3 linked regions of the Notamacropus eugenii genome follow. Each later gene encodes a partner of the first gene's protein in a complex. Links are inferred from orthologs where the notes say so. Each region holds a gene or a part of one and is shown in the gene's direction. Other genes may lie near its edges. The genes, in order: ITGA2B, ITGB3 and FLNA.

Region 1 (7,855 bases):
TACATTCTCTTTACTCAATGAGTTTGGTGTTTTGTTCAGTCTTCGCTCCAACTCCTCCCTTCATAAATATATAAGCATACGTATATGTATAGGTATTGATGTTCTCTCAAATATCCTATTTCTTATTTGGTCTATTTCATTTACATGATCTATTTCTTCATTCCACCTTAGCAAGACTTAGGTGGACATTCCTTTGATCTTAACCATCACCCATGAATGTACCTATTTCATGATTATGAACCCCTGATTCCCTTGTCTGACCATCTATCTGTATCTTATGACCCCAGTCTGTTCTGTCCTCACTTTCCCAGGCCATCACTGCAGCAGTGGATACACTCTCATCCTTTGCCAATCTCAACCTTTTGGTGAAGCAGTTTATACTCTACCCTAAACCCTGGATTACAAACCCCATCTGCTACTTTTACTTTTATACTGCTGAATAGAAGTAGGGTGGTCACAAAACTATTTGATTTTTTACAAAATTTTTAATGGCCTTTATTGCATCAAAGCACTTCTCTCCTTAATTGATGCTCTGTTCCACTCCCAATGGTGACTGTTTCAAACATTTCTTCCTGCCTGTTACATTCAGCACTCCTTCCTCCAACGATCTTGACAAGATCTATATGTAACCTTGATCCCATCCTGTTCCTTCTTCAGCACATTGCCCCCCACTATCATCTTCAAACACTTCCCCATCTGCTGGCTTCTCTGATAATCTACAAACAAACCCAGGTCTCCCCCATCCTTAAAAAGGCCACATTTGATCCTACCATCTCCCATATTTCTTAATTTACTCTTTAAAAATTCATTTAAACTCTACTTTATAAACTACAACCTGACTTCTGGCCTCATTCAGTTGAAACTGCTCTTTTTACTTACATTTTATTTTAATAAAAAATAGTTCAATGGGAGGAAGCATTGAAAAATTAAAAGAAAATAAAATCCTTGTAAACAAATATGCATTCAAGAGAAACTAATTTCTGCATTGTCTGTGTCCAAAAAGTACTTCATTCTGCACCAACTCCATTGGCTCTGTCAGGGTGTGGGTAGCATGTTTTAACATGGGTTCTCTGAAGTCATTTCACTGATAAGAATTAAGTCTAAGTTCACTCTCTTTACAGTATTGTTGTGTAAAGTATTCTGCAGAATCTATGTCTTCACTCTGCACCTCTTCATATAAATCTTCCCAGCTTTCTCTGAAACAATCCCCTTCATTTCTTACAGTAAAATAGTACTCCATTATGTTCATATAATTATTTCTTCAGCCATTCCCCAGTTGAAGGACACTTTCTTAGTTTTCCAGTTCTTTGTCACTATAAAAAGAGCTGCTAAAAATATTGTTTGCACTTACTTTGCTTTCTTTAGGCTAAAAATGCCAAGGTAGGTCTCTGGTATCAATCAGTTCTATATCTGGTATCAATAGTTCTAAACTGCTTTGCAGAATGATTGGTCGGCACCAACTTCTAGCTGAACAAGAAAGAGAAGAGAATATGCAGTTATATAGTGTCTGCTGTATCTCACACTGCTAAGCACTCATAAATAGTATTTTATTTGATCCTCACAACAACCCTTCCAAGGGTTGAGAAAACAGAGTAGCTTTCCCAAGTTCACACAGTTTGTGTCTAAGGTCATATCTGAACTCATGTCTTCCTAACTTCGGGTCCAGAACTCTATCTACTGCACTACCTGCTGTTTAAATCATTTTTTACATTACTTGTTTAAATTGCCCAAGATCTGCTTTTTCACCTTACCATCCACCCCCAACTGAGGACATATAAAAGTTAAAATCTATTACATATATAGTCAACCAAAACAAATTTCTATATTGGCTAAGTCAAAAAATAAAAAAATTATTCTGAATTGAGTCCTTCACCTGTCTTTCAGGAGGTGGGTAGCATGTTTCATCATTAGTCAATTTCATTGTTAGTCCTCTGGAATCCTTGTTGGCCATCACACTGGTAAGAGCACACCATAATAGTATTCTATAGCATTTCTATTCCATAATTTGTTCATCTGTTCACCAGGTTATATAGATACATAGATATCTATTGGTAAGTCCAGGGTAAGTCCCTATCTTAAAACATCTGACTTCCTCCAAGACTCAATTCAAATGCCACCATCTGCAGAAGGGCTTTCCTGGTCCCCTGAGCTATATCTTTTTTTTTTAATTGTCTTTCCCATTTGAACATTTTCCTTGAGGTCAGACCTGAATTTGCCTTTCTTTATATTCCCTATATTTAGCACACATTGCATAGTACGTAATAAAATGTTTGTTGATTGATGTAGCTCCTAAGTTTGGGCTACTTGACTTTAATATCTTTGGATATTTCTAGACAATATCCTGATCTGCTTTTCTGGACATGCTACACTTTGTGATGTTCCCCTTAAATTGTGGCATGCCTGACTAAATACTTGTCCAGATGCGATCTGATCAGGACAGAGCACAGTGTGGCCAATAACTGCCTGCTGGGTACACGATGCTTATGGTTAGTGAGCCTAAGTTCTGCTTTAGTATTTTTAGGATCCACCACCACCATAATTCACAATGAACTTGCAGTCCACTAAAACTCAAGAGGTCTTTTTTCATCTAAGTACTTTTCTAATTACACCTCCCCCTCTTCCTTCTACAGTTGAGTTTTTAGATTCGAATGCAGGGGTTTACCTTCTATAAGTGGTAAAACCCAATGATGTGGCTTCCATCCCAACACTGGGAAATCTAGAGGATCCCCCCTCTAGCTCAGATCCCAACTCTCCCTTAACTGCCTGTTCTATATTGGTCTCTGACTACTTAAAGCGCTTTATGTGTTTATGTGTTTTCCTCTCAATTTGACCTTTCATAATACATGCTTGTCTGTTACTGTGTGTCCCTTTTTTTGTGTGTTTGAGCTTTAAGCTTCCCAAGGGCAGGATCTATCTTAATACCAATTTCATGTCCTCCATATTTCTGAGCACATAAACACTCTGGTATTTATAGAATTGAATTTTATGCTCAATAGAAGCAAACATAACCTGACCACCTGACCTTTCACACTGGGGATTTCATGGGGAAATAAAGGAAATAAGTGAGAAAGGTTAATTAATAATCAGATATCAGACATGGTATGTATTTTGAAGGCATGAGACAGGAAGTGGGAGTGAATTAATTTGAAACTTATTTTAGTTGTAGTCCATCATTACCAGTACACACTTAAGTATGCACATGCTAGACTTGGTTATATATGGCTTAAAAGATTGCTGCCTTGAAGATTTACACATTCCCAGTGGAACACTATGATAACTATGAAATAAGCACATAGATGGGATAGAAAACTTGTTTCCGTAAGTGCATAAAGGGAATGATGAGGAGAATAACATTTATTAAAAGTACCTGCCACATCCCTGACCGTTTGCTAAAGCACTTGACAAATACCTCATTTGATCCTCACAATAGTCTTGTGAGGTTGATGTAATTATCTTTATCTCCATTTTACAGTTGAGGAAACTGAGGCAGACAAAAGTTAAGTGACTTGCTATTAATTCTTTGTATCAACTTGAACTCAGGTCTTTGTGACTGCCAGCTTAGTAGTGTGTTCATTGGCACCATGGCAGCTATGTAACAGTAATCAGTGAATGGTGACAAGGGTGGGTAAGGTAGCTCTAGGTTACACAGAACGTTTCCTGGAGCATGGGGTGTTTGAGATGAATTCTAAATGTTCCACAACAAGGTGCTTGGTATGCCCCAAGCTGGTAGGTGTACTCTCTGTCCTAAAACAGCTCCAGGTTCTATTGGAAGGGTATAGCAAAAATAAGACAATTAAAGACAAAGTATAGGTGCTGAAGTGGATAGTGTGGAGCCTGGAGTCAGGAAGACTCTTCCTGAGTTCAAGTCTGGCCTCAGACACCTACTTGCTGTGTGACACTTAACCTTATTTGCCTCAATTTCCGTATCTGTAAAAATGAGCTGTAGAAGGAAATGGCAAACCACTGCAGTATCTTTGCCAAGAAAACTCTACATGGGGTCACAGAGAGTAGGATATGATTGAAATGACTCAACAACAACAAAATATACAAAGTAATTTCTAGGGGAAGGCACATGCCTAATCAGAACAGTCTAACAACAGAACTGAGGTTTCAGATGGCACAATGGATGGATTGAGGAGAGGGATGCAGGAGGGATGGGCATCTCTTGCTTGCCTCTGACCTCTTCTTTGTTCTGCTTCCTTGATTACTCCCGTTTCTGCCTCATGTGCTTTTGCTTTTTGTCAGGGCACTCTGCTCTGGATAGCTTCTCTCACATTCCTATGCTGCAATGCTTCCATTTGACTCTAATTCAGCCTTACTGTCAGTCTTCTGCTGAGTAGCCAAAACAGACTAAATGCCAGAGGCCTCAGACACTATTGCCCATGATTTGGTATGACCAATTCACTAGATAAGACTTGAAGGACCCCAACCCCACTTCCTTAGAGGAAGCTGCAGAGCTGTGGTAATGATCATTGGTCATTAGAAGCAAGGAAACAGCTGCCACTGATATTACTCTTGTATCTGCCAGGCAAGGGAGAAGATGGGGGAGGGGAAAGAAGTATTTTCTTTCTCCATTAGGGAAAAGTTAAGATCTTGTCCCCTAACCATAGGGTGCTGCAGCTCCCAAGGGAGTCAGTTCTGAATTCCACCCCAATACATTCATCCCAAGTAGTTTCCTCCACCTACCTAACCAGCAGACTCAATGGGCAGTATTATAGGAATGTTGTCTCATCTGTCACTCAGGGAGTTATTTTGGGGACCAGCTTGATAAGGAGCAACTTCCTGAGGTTGGTAGTGGTGGGAGTGGAAGAAAAGAACTCATTTTAAAGAATTCTATTCAGGGGCATCAGCAGGAGGAAGATGGTTAGAACTCAGTGCCTGCTGCCTGCTCTGTGGCTCTTGGGATGGATACAGCTGCTTCTGGTGCCTGGTGGTCCCCCAGTCTGGGCCCTGAACCTGGATGCTGCGCAGCCAACCCTGTATGTGGGCCCCAATGGCAGCCACTTTGGATTTGCTCTGGATTTCTATGAGGATAGCTATGGCAGGTAAGTCATGGGCCAAGGAAAACTAGATTGTAATACGGACAAAGATGTGTGAGTGCATCTACAGACATAAACCTTTAGGAACATTAGGGCAAAGAAGGCTGTCACCTGGGTTCCTCAAATCATCCACCCACCAACCTGAAGCCTGAAATTCTACCCTTCATTCCATTTCATGGTGTGAATGAAATCTTTCTTTATTAAAATTTCACTATCTCTAGGAGAAATTCTACTTTTAACCCTTATTGAGCATTACCTCCGTGGGAAGCAGTTTTTATGATCGCTTCCAAAGAATTAAGAGCGGGACAGATAAAGTTTTGTGTTGGTAGGAGGGACGGGGCTGGAGGTGGGGAAGCATCACAGAACCCAGCTAGAAAGAGCAGACTTAAGTAAAGGGCTCTGGACCTGCTGTGGTCAGCATGAAAACAACCAGATACGTAAAGAGAATTCAGGCTGGGCCGGAAAAGAAAAGGAATTAAAGACAGACATTATTTATTGTCCTGAGGGCTAGGCTTAAATTCCCCAAGTGAAATGGAGACACTCTTCCCCAGCACACACCCAAGGGCATGGTTTATCATCCCTAAACTCACTTTCCCTCTTACATTACTATGAATCCGTGCCCCAGCCTTTTCCCACAATGTTTGATCAGCCTCATCTTCCTGTCCCTGTGCCCCATGGGTGATGCTGACCAGATGGCCTCAACTCAGGCTCCTTTCTGCCTGCAGCTTTGGCATTGTGGTGGGAGCCCCAAGGGCTGTAAGCCCCCAGGGGGAGGAGACTGGAGGTGTGTTCCTATGTCCCTGGGCAGCCCAGGGAAGTAGCTGCAGTCCGCTGACTTTTGACCTCAGTGAGTCTTGGGCCCCGGATAGGAAGGGGATGGGGGACGAGGGGAGATGGGAACTATAAAGGGGGAGGGGGAGGGTTACTCCACTAGGAGAAAGGTCTTTGCATGGTCTAGAGAGACCATGAGAAGTGGTCCCTGCTTACCTCCAACCCAAGTTCTCTCTCCCTTCTAGAGGATCAGACCAGCAAGGTGGGCGCGATCACCTTCAAAACCTTCAAGACCAAGCAAGGGCTTGGTGCATCCGTTGTCACTTGGAAGGACAACATTGTGGTGGGTACTGGGCAAGCATGGGTCTTGTAGTATGGGGACCAGGCAGGTATGAAGTAGGGCATTGGACTGACATGGAAGAGCTAGAACTTGGGCATTGGATAGGCAGGAGATATGGAGAGGCACTACGATGGTCACAGAGCGAACACTGGGCAGCCGTGGCCAGGCAGGGAGAGGAGAGGAGGGAGGAAGGCAAAGCCAGGTCACAAAGCCCTGAGTGCGGGGGAGGCTGCGGAGAGGGGAATCCATGCGCGCCCCCTCAGCCCCAGGACCCTCTACGTCCCGCCCCTCCCGCAGGCATGCGCTCCCTGGCAGCATTGGAACGCTCTGGAGCAGACCGAGGAGGCCGGAAAGACCCCAGTCGGGAGCTGCTTCGTGGCGCACCTCAGGAGCGGCCGTCGGGCAGAGTATGCTCCTTGCCGGGAGAATGCCATGAACCAGCTCTACTTCGGGAACTCCCGTGAGCCACACCCCGTCCCCGCGACTCGCCCAGTTCCTCCCGTGGGGCTACCCCTACAAATGGCCGGGCCTCTGAGGGCCCTAATGGTGGCCACGTCCCTCTCCTTGGTCCTGCCCTTTAGTTCTCGGGAGGGGCCCTTAGCCAGGTCAACTGACCTGACTCCTCTCTTTTCATCTCTTCTCCACCCGGGTCCAGGCAGAGACTTGCGCTACTGCGAAGTAGGATTCAGTTCCACGATCACTCAGGTGAATGAGGGGTGCAGGGCAGAAGACGAGAGAAATTAGAATTGGGGGGCAGAGATGGGATTCAGAATAGGGGCACATTCTGAATCCCCACAATAAGGGGATCTTATTAAATGTTCCTTTGATTTGATTATTGAATTGCGGGGAGGGACCTGTCAGCCTGGGGAGCTTCTCACCCTTCTCACCTTCTGTACTTTCCTTTCAGTCTGGGGAGCTGGTTCTGGGGGCTCCTGGAGGCTACTATTTCCTAGGTATCATCCTTCCCTTACGCTACTCAGCCCCACTTCCCCTCTTTTTTTTTTTTTAAGTAGTTAAATGGGAAAGTTTTATTCGATAAATATAATCTGGCAAACTTCTAAAAGATTTACTGACAACTGCACAGTATGCAAGCTTCATTAACTGTCAGTGTACAGAAAATTTTTAAAAGGATTTCATTACATAGCCAAAGTGTCTGAGGTCCAACTTTTCAACTAAGTATTGCTACAATGAACTTCCCCTCCTCTCTCCGATCAGTTTTGTTCCCCAGGAGAGATGGGTGGCAGAACACCATCCTTGGCACCCTGAGTGACTGAAATGGGAACGCCATCCTGACCCACAATGCACTATCCCCCCTGTTCTGGGCTGGGTCATTGGACTTAGGAGTGCTGCAGGGAAAAGACTTCACTAACCTCAGACCAAACTGTCTTCCACTCATCAGGTCTGCTAGCTCAGGCTCGGCTTTCTGATATCATGTCCAGCTATACCCCATCCTCACTTCTCTGGACCGTGCCTTCCCAGCGCCTGAGCCAGGACATCTTTAAGTCTGAGTACCAAGACGCCTACCGGGGTATTGGGTCCTTTCCTCATTCCCCAGCCCATGGTCATCTGCCCTACTCCCATTCTCTTGCCTACCCTCATCCACTCGTTCCTCCTTCCTTTTGGTCCTTAGCCTTTCCTTCTAGGTGAGTGGGTGGAGGAGTGGTGCCTTGTCAATGAATGCTTCCTGTCCACAGGGTACTCAGTG
Region 2 (7,838 bases), about 3.3 Mb from region 1:
AGCTCTTAAACCCTCCTCAAAGCATTAATTCCTAGTTATGATTTTGTCATCATGTCTAGGTTTACAGGTCCTTCCTACAGCTTTTCAGAGAGTACAACTTTCCTCCTTCCTTCAAGGTGTCCCCAAAGGACATCCTAGGCCAGTGCTTCTCAAAATGTTTGGCCTTGGGATATTTTACATTCTTAAAAATTTTTGAGAATTTTTGGTTTTGTGGGTTATAGCTATCAATATTAATCATATTAGAAATTAAAATGTCTTGGTATTACTATGAAAATAGTTTTGACCTTGCAGACTCCTTGAAAGGGTTCTCCGGACCCCACTTTGAGAACTGCGTCCTAATCCTTTAAATGGAGAGAGAAAGATCATTGGTCCCTTCCCCTGACCCTCTATCTTATGGTGTGGGGATAATGGTTGAGAACTCTTATTAGTTTGGGTTTAGGAAGGTAGTAGAGGAAATAGTGTGGTGTGACAGGGAAAGATAACGGAAATAGTGCCAGGGGTCCCCATCCTGTCTCCCAGAAGGACTTTGAACAAATTCTTCCTTTCCCTTTGAACTTCTGTCTAGTGTTGATGAATGACTTGCTGTTCATTCATTCATTCAAACAAACATTTATTAGATGCTTACTATGTACAAGGCACCACAATAGGGGCAAGGATACAAAACCGAAGTGGAAGTGTCCCTGCCCACAAAGAGCTTACATTTTAAGTGTGTAGCTCTTAGTCCAGGGTTCCCTCTTCATCTAGGTTTACATGGGCAGGGTCTGATGTCAGGAGCGAACACAAAAAGATCATTATCTCTTTGGTTTGCTATGTTTCCACACAGTTTAATCTGAGAAATCTCCAAATATATCCCAGTGGGACAGCTACTTTGACTCTCAGATTGTTGCTTATCCTTAGTTCTTGAAGAGAATTGATGGCAATAGGAAGGTGATATCTTGACTTGCAAGTGAATTGGATTTAAGTGAGGCAGAGCTGGGCAAAGTCACCAGCCTCACTATTTCCTTCAGAGCCAGCAATATTGTAAGATGATCAGCTGTAAATGACTTAGTTATTCTCAGCAATACAATGATCCAAGACAAGTCTGAAAGATATATGATGAAAAATGCTGTCTATCGCCTGAGAACGGACCGATGAAGTCTGAATACAGATTGAAGTATATTTTTTTTACTTTCTTTATTTTTCTTAGGTTTTTATTTTGGTCTAGGTTTTCATTTACAACATGACTAATATGGAAGTATGTTTTGCATGACTATACATGTATAACTTCTATAAAATCGCTCGCTTTCTCAATGGGAGTGGGGTGGTGAGGGAGGGGGAGAATTTGGAACTCAATTTTAAAAATAAATGTTAAAAATTGTTTTTATGTGTAACTGGGGGAAAATAAAATACTAAATAAAAAAAAATCCTTTCTACTCTTGAATCCCAGGACCTTTGTGCTTGCAGGTCTGACATTTGTGACTTATACTTCGTGCAGTTCCTGGCACATAACAGATGATTAATAAATATTTGTTGACTGACTGACTGACTGACTCAGAGGAGAAAAGGGACCAGACAGACAACAGACAGCACAATTCAAGCTAATTCTAGGGTTTTAGGATTTAGGTCTGTTTGTGTAAAGCAGGCAGTTAGGCAAGAAGCATTTATTAAGGGGTTACTATGTGCCAGGATAAAATATAAGAAATATATATATATGTAGTGATATAATGCCAGGATAAAATATAAGAAAAACAGCTCTTGCCCCCAAGGACCTTACATACTAGTGGGGAAAGGCAATATATAACAGGGAGCTGAAAAACAGGGTTGAGCGGGGGAGGTACTGAACATGGTGGTGAAGTCCAGAGAGTTTGAAGCAGAGTGGGGGCGGTGGGGGGGTGGAAATGTAAGCTGGTTATCCAGGGTTGTTCTCCCAAAATGGAGACCCTGGAAGGAACTTATTAATAGAGGCCATAAGGTACAGGGTGAAGTGGATAGGCCTCAGATTAGCTGTGTGACTCTGGGCAGTTCACTTAACCCTGTTTGCCTCAGTATTTCTCATCTATCAAATAAACTGGAGAAGGAAATGACAAACCATTCCAGTATCTCTGCCTAGAAAACCCCAAATGTGGTCATGAAGAGTCAGGCACAACCTAAATGACTGATCAACAACAATCACAAAAATAGAGTTAGAGGGATATTCCAGGGTGAGAAGGCCCCAGGTGCTGAAGGAAGATTCTGAGTGAGATGCTGTGAGACTTAGGAGCTCTACAGCAGAAGAAGAATCTTCTTCACGAGTGTGGGTCCCAGGCCTCCATGTTCCTCTTGGGGCCTGAGCTCCTTCTCAACTAATTCAGGAGAATTCTAACTTTTCCTCCATTTTTGGCCTTAGAACTTTATGCTCACTAATTTTTAAGCCTTATGTATCCCTTAATTTGTTTTTAAAAATTAAATTTTATTTTTAAATTAATAAGCATTTGTTTTCCCTCCCCTCATTAAGAAAAAAAGAATTAATCCTTTGTAACAAATATATATAATCAAGCAGAATACATCTTGTTGGTCTCCAAAAAAATCTATATCTCTGTCTATCTATCTATCTATCTATCTATCTATCCATCCATCCATCCATCCATCTATATATCATCTATGTATCTATGTATCTATCATCATTATCATCATCACCATCATCTACTTCATTGTGCATTTGAGTCCATCATTTGTCAGGTTTTGAGAAGTATACTTCATTTTTGGTCCTCTGGCTTAAATTCTGGTTGATTATTTTGTTGATTAGAGTTCTTAAGCTCTTCAAAGTTGCTTGTTTATGCAAGGTCATTATTACAGAAATTGTTCTTACACTTCACTGTGACTCAGTTCTTACAAGTCTTCCCAGGTTTCTCGGAGACCATTCCTTTCATCATTTCTTCTAGCACAATTTTTTCCCATTATAATAATTTGTTCAGCCATTCCCCAATTGATGGGAAATTAAAATCCTAGTTTTCAGTTCATTGCCACCACAAAAAATTACTATAAGTATTTTTTTTACATATGAGTCCTTTTCCTTTTATTTCTTTGGAGTAGTACAGGTAATTTATTCATTCCTAATGTTGAGCTGGGATAATAATCCCTAAACTTCTAGGTCACTGAGTTTTCCTAGTTCCTTAGATTCAGAGATCTGTCTCACAAACTCTGGTTACCTTTTCTTCCTCTATAACCATTGCTGGCATCTCTGGTTGATGGTACCCATCCCTCCGTTTCTCTTTTATTCCCTTGCTGCCACCACACACTGCAGACCATAAGTGAGTTTTCTTCTTTGTTTTTAAACTTTATTTTAAAGGAAGAAAAGGAGTATGCTGCAATAAACTACTCTCCTCTGAACAGGTAGTTCCCACTTTGAGTAAATTATGATTTAGTTCAAACTTCCTGGGTTTAAGGTAACCCTTTATTTATTCTCATGTCTAAAAGCTTACACCGTGAACTAGCGATTTCCAACTTTTTACCTCCAAAATGAAAATAGCAAATCTCCCTTCACCACCATTTGGGATTATCCTACTTGGTTCCTCTGGATTGAGATTACTGTTTCATTTACAATCCTAATTTCACTTTTAACCAGTCAAGGAGTCTATTTTCAGACTTTCAATGTCCTACTCCTATTTTTAGCCACCAAGCAACCAATTCTTACTCTTCTCAAGGAAGAGATTTCATAAAATATATTATTACAGTTGCACCTGTCACTAAACAAAGAGGAATTGGACATGACACCCATTTTGCCAAAACTGTTCACAAACATCTTCCTCTCTTTTTTCCAAAAGATACCAACTAGACCACCTTGGGCCTGGAGTCCAGAAGGCTCACATCCAACTTCAGTCACTTACTCTTAGCTATGTGATCCTGGGCAAGTCACTTAACCTTTTTCTGTCTCAGTTTTCTCAGCTATAAAGTGGGGAGAGTAATTACACCTACCTTCCAGGGTTGCTGTGAGGATCAAATGGTATAACACTTGTTAAGGGCTTAGCACATAGTAGGTGCTTAATAAATGTTTATTTCCTTTCCTCCCTCCCTTCCCTCTTTTCCTAAGGCATTTAGTGATTACCTTGATGTGCTTAGAGACAGCTCTGATCCTAGACCTGGCTCTGCAACTAACTTTGGCTTTTCAATCTTAAGGAAATGACATTTCTTGATAATAAGATAATAATAAGTTCTCCTCTGGCCTTCTATTTTCCAAAATATAAAATGAAATGGTTGAACTAGAGGAGCTTTAAACTTCCTATCAGCTCTAGGAAAAAAGAGAATAAATCCAGTTAGAGGTAATGAACACTTTATTGTAGCCCTTCAATCCAACAAGTGTCTATATATAGGGTTTGCTACCTGACCAGCACTTAAACAATTGGGGACAATATTCAATAATGTAATTGCCCTCCAGGAGTCTAGCTGGGGATTGTGTCAAGCCTAACTGGCATGTGTCAAGCCCGGACCGGTTCAGTACCAAGCTATCAGGTCCTAACTGAGAATAACCCGAGAATGGAGAACAATGAGTTCTCTATTAGTCCCTGAAGGCTTCCATGGCAGACAATGCAAAGGAACAAAGAATAATGAACCTAAATAGCTTGGGAACCAGAAAGGGATTTATAAATGTCGGTTATTATTATTATAAGTTCCTTGGGTGTGTGTGTTGGGGCGGGGGAGGGGGAGAGGGCAGGAATTTTATCATATTTTATCTTAGGATCTTCCCCCAAGTCCTTTACAACTCTTTTCAGACAGTCGGAGGTTAATAAACATTTCTTAAATTGAATTAATTAACGGTCTCCATTCTCTGCTCCCTTTTGGCTACGCGAGTTCCAGCTCGGCCTCCTACCCCTTCCCGCCCCACTTTTCATCTTTCCCTCGGGTGTGCTGAGCTGTACTCCTTCGGGGACTAGAAGTTGGGGCGGGGGTGGCGTGAAAGGGGAACACAAGAAAGAATTTTTCCTCTCTGGGCTTCGGCTTCCTCCTCTCAAAACTGAGGTTGGATTAGATGGTCTAAGGATAGCTGGCAGCAGCCCCAAGGTGATAAGAACCAGACCCATCGCCCCCCGCCCCCCCAAAAGCCCCTCCTCTTTTCCAGCTAGAAGGGAGGGAGTCTGCGGCTTACTCCTCCCCCCGACCTCGCGCAGTCCCACCCCCTCCATCCGTCCCCACCCTCCTGGAAGCCGTGGGGGGCGGGAAAAAAGACTGCGGGGCGTCCTGCGCTTTGCACCCAACTGTAGGGGATCGCGGAACAGAGCCAGGGTGGGAGAGACGAGAATGGGACCGCGGCAGCTCTGCTTGGCTCTGCTGGCGCTGGGGGCGCTGGCGGGCAGAGTCCAGGGTAAGTGGCACCAAACGGGCCGCGGATTCCGAGGCTATCCGGGCTCTGGGAGACCCCAGCTCGCTGAAGGGACTACAGAAGGAGTCCGGGCGCGACTTGTGCTCTGCCAGGCATCGGAACTGAGTGATCCGCAACTGTCGGGTCTTGTCCCCTTTGTGCAGCTCAATAGCGGGTCCTTTGGGTGCGAGTCCTCAGTGCAGGGATTTCTGACTTTGCAGCTCGTTGGGGATGTGTGGATCTTTCCGTGTTGTCTTCTTATTTCGGGTTTGCACTAGAAGTTCATCTCCAGGTAGTTTGTCTCCCCCACCCTCTCTCTCTCTTTCTCTGTCTCTGTCTCTCTGGTTCTCTCCGTCTCTGTCTGTCTCTGTCTCTCTGTCTGTCTCTGTCTCTCTGTCTCTGTCTGTCTGTCTCTGTCTGTCTCTGTCTCTGTCTCTGTCTCTCTCTCTCTCTCTCTCTCTCTCTCTCTCTCTCTCTCTCTCTCTCTCTCTCTCTCTCTCTCTCTCTCTCTCTCTCTCTCTCTCTCTCTCCTCTTGCGGTGATATGGCTATTGGTAAGGCTTTGCCTTCCCGAGTGTCAGTAGAGGCTGTGGTCTTACTGTACTGATGCTCAGACAGAAGGCTACTTACAGGTACAAAACAAGGCTGGGGTTCCGCTTTCGTTAAGTGAAGTCTAGGTTCACTTAAGTGAGACCAGGAAGTGAGACCAGGAAAGGTGCTCCGATCGGGATAAGGACTTCTTAGAGGCTCCAGGACTCAAATCTTGCTGCTGTAGATCTCAGGCTTACCCGCTCTTCGGGCCACAAGCAGACAGTTCCATATTTATGTCCCCATCTGGGAGGTGAGCAGGGGCTTCCTACTTTCCTCCTCCTGATCCACCCTGGATGAGATAGAGTGTGGTTGATGAGTCCACAGGGATTCACATATCTGAGTTCCTGAGAGGTCATGGACCTCTTTTGAAGGGAGGGAGAAGTTGGAGTGCTGGAGACAGCTTCTACTTTCTGGGACTTTCCTTGTTAGGGAGGCAGAAAATACTGGTGCGGGTCAAAATAACCCGCAGCTAACTGAGTATTATTCTCTGGGGGTTTTATTTTTATTTATTATGGGACTTACATGCTCAGAGGACCACAGAGTTGACTTATTTAATCAGCCAACAAGAATCTACTACGTGCAAAGTGTAGCACATCACTAAACATTGTGGGGAGATAAATATGGGGTTTAGCCTAGTAGGGGATAAGACAAAGGCAGATAACTGGAACACACAATATTAGAACTCATGTTTATTAGGGAGTTAAAACGCAAAGTGCTGTGTGAGGACACAGAATGGGTATTGTTACCCAAGAAGGAATCATTGCCCAAGAGGAGGGTTCTCCAGAAGGCTGGAGGAACATTTGAGTTATATTGCTGAGGCTATTAGTAATTATAACTGACATTTACATAGATCTTTTAAGGTTTTCAAAGCACTTTTTCAAAGTTATTTATAAATGTAAAATAGAACATGTAATTATTATAAACACTTATAGTTTAAAAATTATTTATAAATGTCATTCACTTTCCCACCTCTGCTGTCTACCATACTACTGTCTCATAAAACTCAGGTGAGCAAAATGTCTAAATAGAGAATCTCAAAATTAACATGTCCAAAACAACTCATTTTCTTTCTCTTCAAACTCCGTCTTTTCTAAACTTTTCTGTTTCTGTTGAAGATATCTTCTTCTGTTTAAGATACCAGCCTTCTGGTCACTCAGGTTTACCAAATATCTTGAATAGATCCCCTTCTCTCTACTTATACTGCTACCAACCTAGTTTATTATCTCTCTCCGGGACTATTCCATCAGCCATCTAATTGATCAACCTGCCTCATGTATCTTCTCATTCTATTCATTTTCCCTACAGCTGCTAAGGTGATTTTCCTAAGGTTTAGGCGTGACAGTGTCACTCCAGTACTCAGTAAACTCCCCTGGCTTCCTATTACCTACAGATCAACTATATAGTCCTTTGGCATTTAAAGTTCTTCACAACTTGACCCCTCCCTAGCTTTCCATTCTATGACCTTTATACTCTACACCTTTATAAATCAACTATACAGTCCTATTTACTCTTTCTCACACCTAATATTTTATCTCCAGTTTTTGTACTGACTGTTCTCCAAGCCTCAAGCGCTCTTCTTCCTCAGACTGGCCTCTCAGAATCCCTGGCTTCCTTCAAGACACAGCTCAAGCACCACATCAATAGCTGGTTTTTTCCTGGTCCCCAAAGATGCTGGAGCCTTTTCTTCTAAGGTTCCCTTTTCCACTCATTTTGTCTATGTTTTTCATTTACTTATGTATGTGCCTAGTGTCTTTCCCATTAGAATGTAAGTTCCTTGAAAGCAGAAGCTATTTTTGTCTTTCTTTGTATTTGTATTACATCATCCAGTGATGGTTCTGTGAGTGCTTAATAAATGCATGACTAACCGACATTATTTACTGCCTTGGCGTTATCTTGCCACCTCATTTTCCCTCACCCTACACTTCTAGTCAGTC
Region 3 (7,446 bases), on another chromosome or scaffold:
CCTTGCCTTTCTATAGCTTCAGGTCATTAGAAACCTAAACTTCACTGACATCCTTCTCCATTCTTGCCACAGGCAAGATCCCAGCTCCAGGCTCTGTGGCAGGAGGATGGTGGCCTTCAAAGAAAGGGCCTCAACAAGGAACTGAGGGCCTGGCCTCCACAAGTCCCAAAACAGGTGAGACTTTGACTTCCCCTTCATCTGGGGCAAAGTAGGGCCAAACAGAGACCGAGTTGGAAAGAGGGGCCCTCAGAGATCAGCCTTCCCTCCCTCTCCCCCCCACTTCTATTTTAGAGATGGAGAAAGTGAGGTACAGAACTGAGGATTGACTTATTCAGGTCATGCATCTTAGTCAGAGGCATAGGCAGGGCCCTCGTCCATCCGTAAATGAAGTAGTACCAAGCAACACATGGGCAGACATACATCCCCTGGGACCCATAGGCACAATGAAGGAAGGGCCTGGGTCAGGGTTAAGGGTCCTTATTCACCCTTGCTTGCCCACTTGGCCCCTTCCAGCTTAGGGAACTTGAACCCACAGGTTCCCTCTCACCCCCTTCCCCACCCCTTGGGATGAGATGTCAACAAAACAGTCTTCCCCTGGGTTGGGAGCATTAGGGACCTCTGAGTCGCGCCCCACCCCATTTCTGACTGCAGGGTAATGAAGCCAAGCTTCCAGCCTGGGATTCACCCTGCTGTACCCAAACCCAGAAAAAAAGAAAGTCATCTCTTCTTTGTGCGGGTGGTCAGGGAGGTTGGGGGGCCTAGGGGGAGGTGGAATGGGCTTAGGAAAATTGGGGCTTGGTTAGGAGTTGGAAAGATACCCAGGAACCTTCCCTGGCATGGCTGGTGCCACACCCTACTCCCCCAGACTTGGGCACAGGAGGCTGATCTGGATGGAAATATTGTGAAATAAGGCAGAAAGAGGAACTGAGCCAGAGAGAGAGACCAAGAGAAAACTGAGAGAGAGGGAGACAAGAGAGAGAGAGAGAATAGGCAGGCTTTTGGACAGAATCCTCAGTGATATCAGAGGCCAAGAATGAGGCCCATTTCCTTCATTTCTTTTAGGATCCTTTTCCCAGGTCCTAGTTCAGAGAGGGACTGAGACTGGTCAATAATTGGTTGGAGAACAGGCAGGCCAAGGGGGGCCCATCTGGGACAGTTTCCTGTTATTTTGAAGACACCTTGGATTGGGAGACTGCTGCCTGGACTAAGGGGAGGACAGAGACAGATATGGACATTTTCTCTGAGTCCCTGATAGGCCTGGGCCCCAGTGGGTCTAGGAAGTAGACACTAGCCACAAAGAGACCACTCTTTGCCTTGAGATAATAAGTCAGACTAGGAGTGCCCAAGAAACCTGCACTGATTTCCTCCCAGACTCTGGTTCCCCCCAAATGTAGCCAAAGCCAAAGTCCTCCTGAACAGCAGGTGCTGAGAAATATTTTCTCAAAGCATGGCCCATCAGAGCTAGAAGGGACTTTGGGGACCCTTGTTCTACAGGGAAGGATTGGGGTGGGGCAGGGGAGACAAGGCCTAGAGAGGGGAAGGATCTAACAGAGTTAGTGGCAGAATCCAGAAAAAAGAGCAGACCTACTGACCATTCAATCCATGTGTATGCCACAGTAATGCCCCATTTGATTCAACAAGCTCCCATTGGGTGCCAGGCACTAGGCCTTGGTCTCCATGAGGAGATAGAACCAAAAGGGAAGCAGCCCCTGCCCTCAGGGAGTTTATGTAGTGCTGAGGGAGAATGAAGGAGGAGGAAATATAAGATATAAACCAGGAAACACCAGGTGCTGAGACAGGACCTGACAGTGGGCAGAATGGGAAATGGCTTCTTGGCAGGACGCCCAGAAGGGAGGGAGCCATTTGTATGTAGCATGTGCAAACATTCTACCTCAGCTGAGTACATTGGCTGTTCTATGAAGATCCCTGAGGTGGCTGTGGTGGGCATGGGAGACACTTAGGGCTCTTTTCTCCTCCTCCTCCCCCCCCAGCCCCCAGTTGACCTGCTAGTAGCCTTGTGGCTACTGCGGGAATCGGGTCATTCTGGTGGCTCACCAGGCAACAGAGCTGAGCCTATGACGGACATCTACCTGCCCAGCTGTTGGAACCTGTGAGCCTCCTGAGGGAAGGACCCCTGCTTGTAGGCCCTGTTCACCTTTGTCCCTGGCAACCCCTTGGGATCTGGGGCTGGGGAAGGGCCACTGCCCTTTGCCACCATGGGAGGATCTAGAGCTGTGGGGGTACAGTAAGGCTGGGATCTGCCACCCCCTGACCCCACCCCTTTAGGACCCTCCCTCTGCCTTTTCAGTGTCTGGAGAGAGTTCAGAGAGCTCTTTCAGGCACATCTTCCCCACCCCCACCCCCACCCCCCATGGTCATCTCCTCAGTTCTCTTCTCTCCTTTGTCTCTGTGTTCCCTTGTGCAATCCATCCCAAAGACCAGAACCTTAGGAGCCAGGCCTGGCTTCCATTGAGGGTGGCAACTTTTGAGAGTGTTGTCTTTGTGTCTCCCCAGGGCCTGACATAATAGAGGCTAAATAAAAGCTTGTTGGTCAGTTGAAATCTTGACTGTTGTCACTGATTATCCTTCATTTTGGGGAAGTATAAAATCGGGGAGGGAGGGTATGAGTCTAGGGAGAACAGAGCAGGAGTAAGACTAGATAATCTCACAGGGCCTGTTCTCCTCTAAGACTCTGGGGTCCTAGACCTCTGTGAGCTCCAGCCCACCCCTACTGGTCCAGTTCTGGGCCAGACTGTGCTGAGGGCAAGAAAAGGAAGATTCTGGAGAAGTCTTTGGCTTCCTCACCCCCACTTTCCTCCCACCTTTTGACCCTACTTCCCAGTTAGGGGACATGGTGAAGTTTTAACCTATAGGTAATGCTACTGTTTCCTTACTGCCTTTAAGGGAGTCACAGCTGGATGATGCTCATGGTCCTCCATCAAGCCAAGGGATTAGATTGGATGACCTCCAATGGCCCTTCCAGCTCCAAGTCTAGGATTCTGTGATCTCTCTCCCTTCCCCTTGACCCTATCCCTCCCCTGCTGATCTACCTACCTCAGGTCTCCTCCTGTGGCCCTGGATCCTGACACTTGGCTTTTGAGGAGGCAGGGAGGGGCCCATGTTCCCCCTGTATCTGAGAATGGGGATGGATAGCTAGATGCTCCTAGAAGAGGGTGGCAGTGTCCTGGACCCATACCCCCACCAGCCCCCTTCCCCCCCATGGCATTTTTATAATATTGCCTTATATTCTAATACACTATTAAAGCTGGGAGGGACCTTAGAGAATCTGTAATCTAATCCAATTCCATTTGCCAGATGAAGAAACTGAGGCCAGGAGAGGGGTAGGGACTTATCCAAGGTCACACAGGGAATGAGCCAGGAATCCCAGGCCAGGATTGTTTCCATTTTCTTTTCCATTGCTTCATTCAAAAATAATTCTGTTAGGGGCCAACTATGAAGAAAGAGTGTGGGCTAGACTGGGGAGCCTTGGAGATCAGAGGGAGGGGAATGAACCCTGAACAAAGGAGGACGCTATGGAGGAGCAGAAGGACCCAAAGAGGTGGAGCCACCCTGGGGGAAGAGGGTCCCCAACCCAACTATAGGAGAGCAGGAAACAGCTTCAGGGTCCCTGTCCCCATTATTGAAATAGAATTTTGGAGAGGAAGAGAGAAAATGGGGGAGATGCCCCCTCCCCTGCCCCAGAGTCTACGCAGCTCTCCAAGGATGCTTTCTTCCTCTCTCATTCCAATCTGCTCCATCGATAATATGTGATTGAAGTCAAGGTCCACCCAGGAACTGACCCCTGACCCTCAGCCTAAACAAGAGATAGGAGTGTGCCTCCTTCTTTAACCCTACAAGTCAGCTTGAACTTGGGGGAGTGGTGTTGTGAAAGGAGAGCATTCAAAGTAAAGGGGGTCTACGAAACTAAGAGGGCACCCTAGTGCAATCCTCCCCCTCCTCCTCTCTTTGCCCCTCTGGGGTGGGGGTAAGGGTGCCCCCCCCCTGGGCTGGAGGCCCGCTGGGCTGTGAGCTCATTCCCCTAGGGGCGGGGTCGCCGCCAGCAGTGCCATCACCCTTCCCCCTCCTGCCCCCTCCCCCCCTCAGTTTCTCCTTCACTCTTCCTCTCGCTCCCTCATTCCGGGCTCCCCGGCGACTTTACCAATTAAGGCTTTCTCCGCCCGAGCCGGCTCGGACCCAGGGGGGGTCTTACTGCTGACAAGAGGTGGCCCCGGCCAGCGGGTGAGTTCCCGCAGCCCAGCCCAGCCGAGCCGAGCCGCCAGGCAGTCAGTCTGCTGGCCCTTGCCCTTCTGGTCCTCGGCACGCTCCTGGGACCCGGCTCCGGATCCTGCCCGTCCCGTCTCGGGCCAGAGCCGAGCCAGGGAGCCAGCACAGGTCGAGGTGCCCTCGGCTGCAGGTTCCCGGCTCCCGATCCCAGGCTCTCCAGGCTCCGGAGGCTCTCGGCTCCCAGCTCCGGCTCGGGGCTCCAGGTAAGACAGCTGCTCCCGGTAGCACCCTCCCATCCCACCCCGTGCTGCTGGCTACTGGCACCCGGGAGCCATACAGGCAGCCTGGCTTCTCTATCCTGGGCCTGCCCAGTCCCATCTAAGGCGCGTTCCCCTCCCCACTCTACCCCCCTTCCTAGTCACCACAGGTTCTCTTGGCCTGGACATCCTCTGTCTTGGCAGGGGGCAGAGTCAAGTGGGTAGGAAAGATCAGGACCCGCTGAGTGGGCAAAAGGAAGAAAGAGGAAATCCATTCAGGGGATAGATATTCGTGGGTGCCTGACCCTCCATTTGTGGAGAACTGCTGTGGATGTGTGCAGGCAGGCAGGCAAGACTGGGGAATCAGGGTGGGGCGGGACAGGACAGAGAGATGGACATGACTCCAGGTCACTCTGTAGATGGATATGTATGATTCTAAGTCATTCTGTGTGTGTGTGTGTGTGTGTGTGTGTGTGTGTGTGTGTGTGTGTGTGTGTGTGTGTGATGGTCACTCTGGGGATGGGTGTGTAGGATTTCAAGTCACTATGTGTGTGTGTGTGTGTGTGTGTGTGTGTGATGGTCACTCTGGGGATGGGTGTGTAGTATTCCAAGTCACTGTGTGTGTGTATGTGTGTGTGTGATGGTTACTCTGGAGATGGATGTGTAGGATTTCAAGTCACTGTGTGTGCGTGTGCGTGTATGTGTGTGATGGTCACTCTGAGGATGGATGTGTAGGATTCCAAGTCACTGTGTGTGCGTGTGCGTGTATGTGTGTGTGTGTGTGATTCCAGGTCACTCTGTGGGTGAGTGTGTAAAATTCCAAGTCTGTGGATGTGAGTGTGTAAGATTTTAGATCATTCTATGTGGGTGTACGTGTGGAAGATTCCCAGTCACTCTGTCAGTGTAGGTGTGAGTGTACAAAGGGGTATGGGGGGGGTATATAAAATTGTCACTCTATGGACATGTGTGTGCATACGTGTGTGTGTGCATAAAAAAGTGGCCAGGCTCCTAGCCACTTGATAGCCATGTATTGGGGAAACCAAAGAGCCCAGTAGCCTCCCACCAGGCACCCATGGGAGCATGTAGCATCCCTTGCCAGACCCTGGGGCTGCGCTCCACTCCAGCTGCTCTGTGAACAGTGCAGTGTGTCTCGGTGGGGTGTTGGGGTGGCATGGACAGGGAACTTCTTGGCTAAGTCTGAACTAGATCTGTCTCCAGTTCAATTGAATGGTGCCAAATCCCTGGCTTCCTCCACGGGGCAGTCTGAGCCTCCAAACAGGGTGCTGTTTGGAAACTAGGGATGTGTGGCCCTGGGTGGTGAGGAGTGAGGCCCCACAACTGGCACAACTGATACTTCCTCTGATTGTGTCCCCCCCATCCACCCATCCCCTCTGCCTTCCAGTCTCCCCTCTTCTTTGGGGAGGAAGTGCTTCGCCAGAGCCCCACAACGTCAGGCCAGCATGAATTTAGAGTTGGGGTTAGGTAAGGTGCTCTGGGAGAAGCCTCTGTTGCGGGCTTCAAGTCACATTCTGAGGCTCTCAGGCAGGGCCGTGAGAGACTATGAGACTGGGGAAACTGAGAGCCCAGGAAGGGAAAGTGAGAGGAAGGAGTGGGCCCATTGCCTTAGCTAGCCCATCACGCCAAAGGGAGACAGCCTTCGAGTCTGAGCTGCAGGCAATGCTGTGTCCTGGACAGGGGAATCGGGGAGGCAGCAGGCCAGGAGAGGGGCGTGGGTCTGAGGCTATGTCTGACTCCTCAGTCTCATTCCAAATAAGGGAAAATATGAACTCGCGGAATTTCAGCTTCCTCGGACAGGGGAGCTGCTGGGGTGTGGAATGGGGCGTCCCCTAGTGTCCAGATGTCCACACTGCAATCCCAGGTGGAGCTGGGGTCCGTAGAGGAATCCATCACAGCTGGAGAGACATCCGAGGCTGTTCTACTAAACCCCTTCTTTTTACAGATGTTTTGGCAGCCTGAGGCCTTGAGAGACAAGTGACTCATTAGCAAGTGACAGAGTAGGGTTTGAACCAGATGCTCACTGTCCTCAGTTCCCAGTGGTGCAAATCCAAGAACAGGCTTGCTTCTCCTCTCTCCAGCTCAGGGAGCAAAATCTAATGGGATTGGGTGAATTTCTCTGGGAATTGGGGGCCTGGGGCTGGAAACTAGAATGCCTGAGGTTAACTGCCTCCCCAAACAGGAGTTGATTGATGAATAATCCCCTGCATCAGTTCTCCCTTCCTTGGAGAGCTGCTTCCATTGAGACCTGCAGAAAGAGCAGCCCAAACGCCAAACTCAGATTTTTAGGCATATGTGTTCACTGGGTTCTGGGTTCTTTTCCACTGGGCTCATTGCAAGGGGAGGGATGGAGGACACTACTGAATGTGAAAAAGAGACTGTATCAGAGCTGGAACCTGTATCAGAGCGAGCTCTGCCCACCCCCATAGATGGACATGAAAAAGACCAAGGAGACTGAAATAGACCCAGAAATGTGCTGGGAGGGGAATGAGGCCAGTCTGGAATTAAAAATAGTCCTCAGGTAATTCATAAAGTGATCTAAGTGAAAGTTGACCGTATTTGGATGGGTCATGCTGCAGAGACCATGGCCTCCTCCTTCCCATCCTCCCATTCCCCCCTCAGTCAGAAAGAAGAGAGTGGTGAGGAAAGGGAGGGGAGATGAGTTGGGAACTGGTCCAGTAGTGACGCAGGATTTCCTGGCAGATAGATCAATGACTTAGGTCTTCAGGTTCATTCAATGGAGAGAGCAAGGCACTGTTCAGGGGGCCCAGAGCTGGAGAAAGGAACATTAGGGCTGAAATGAGAAAAGCCAGGCACTTTTGAGGGGACAGAGTCAGGGGCAACTGGGAGGTAACCCTGTCTTTCTCAGCTCTTTGCTCCTTATACCGAGAAAACCCTCCCCCCAAATCCCAGAACAATAAACATATTGGCTCCTTCTAGCTCCCCTCCA

The links.
Region 2: the proteins of ITGA2B (region 1) and ITGB3 are in contact, whole or in part, in a cryo-EM structure (PDB 8GCE), measured with the Homo sapiens proteins. The link is inferred for Notamacropus eugenii from reciprocal best matches to the Homo sapiens genes ITGA2B and ITGB3. Residues at the interface, in NP_000410.2 of Homo sapiens: Gln49, Phe52, Arg72, Trp141, His143, Asn145, Glu152, Ala153, Glu154, Lys155, Pro157, Arg184, Phe191, Tyr197, Glu199, Phe202, Pro217, Tyr221, Phe222, Phe262, Asp263, Tyr265, Tyr268, Thr290, Trp293, Thr294, Gln315, Met316, Ala317, Tyr319; in NP_000203.2 of Homo sapiens: Ser188, Pro189, Tyr190, Tyr192, Ile193, Ser194, Pro195, Pro196, Tyr204, Asp205, Met206, Arg242, Asp243, Pro245, Lys279, His281, Ile282, Ala283, Leu284, Asp285, Arg287, Leu288, Ala289, Gly290, Val292, Gln293, Pro294, Asn295, Asp314, Tyr315.
Region 3: the proteins of ITGA2B (region 1) and FLNA are in contact, whole or in part, in an NMR structure (PDB 7SFT), measured with the Homo sapiens proteins. The link is inferred for Notamacropus eugenii from reciprocal best matches to the Homo sapiens genes ITGA2B and FLNA. Residues at the interface, in NP_000410.2 of Homo sapiens: Trp1019, Lys1020, Val1021, Gly1022, Phe1023, Phe1024, Lys1025, Arg1026, Asn1027, Arg1028, Pro1029, Pro1030; in NP_001104026.1 of Homo sapiens: Thr2263, Gly2267, Ala2268, Gly2269, Gly2270, Leu2271, Ile2273, Ala2274, Val2275, Glu2276, Gly2277, Ser2279, Ile2283, Phe2285, Asp2287, Arg2288, Lys2289, Gly2291, Cys2293, Val2295.

What each region holds. Positions count from the first base shown.
Region 1 is NC_092873.1:349,591,181-349,599,035, forward strand, and holds the start of ITGA2B (integrin alpha-IIb), read left to right. Parts: upstream 1-4,772; 5' UTR 4,773-4,860; coding exon 4,861-5,045; intron 5,046-5,764; coding exon 5,765-5,886; intron 5,887-6,055; coding exon 6,056-6,153; intron 6,154-6,447; coding exon 6,448-6,610; intron 6,611-6,805; coding exon 6,806-6,855; intron 6,856-7,057; coding exon 7,058-7,103; intron 7,104-7,549; coding exon 7,550-7,678; intron 7,679-7,844; coding exon 7,845-7,855. UniProt on the Homo sapiens protein: Integrin alpha-IIb/beta-3 is a receptor for fibronectin, fibrinogen, plasminogen, prothrombin, thrombospondin and vitronectin. It recognizes the sequence R-G-D in a wide array of ligands.
Region 2 is NC_092873.1:346,313,719-346,321,556, reverse strand, and holds the start of ITGB3 (integrin beta-3), read left to right. Parts: upstream 1-4,811; 5' UTR 4,812-5,253; coding exon 5,254-5,317; intron 5,318-7,838. UniProt on the Homo sapiens protein: Integrin alpha-V/beta-3 (ITGAV:ITGB3) is a receptor for cytotactin, fibronectin, laminin, matrix metalloproteinase-2, osteopontin, osteomodulin, prothrombin, thrombospondin, vitronectin and von Willebrand factor.
Region 3 is NC_092879.1:9,764,858-9,772,303, forward strand, and holds the start of FLNA (filamin-A), read left to right. Parts: upstream 1-4,348; 5' UTR 4,349-4,487; intron 4,488-7,446. Other genes in the region: uncharacterized protein, read left to right, coding at 73-174, 1,992-2,114. UniProt on the Homo sapiens protein: Promotes orthogonal branching of actin filaments and links actin filaments to membrane glycoproteins. Anchors various transmembrane proteins to the actin cytoskeleton and serves as a scaffold for a wide range of cytoplasmic signaling proteins.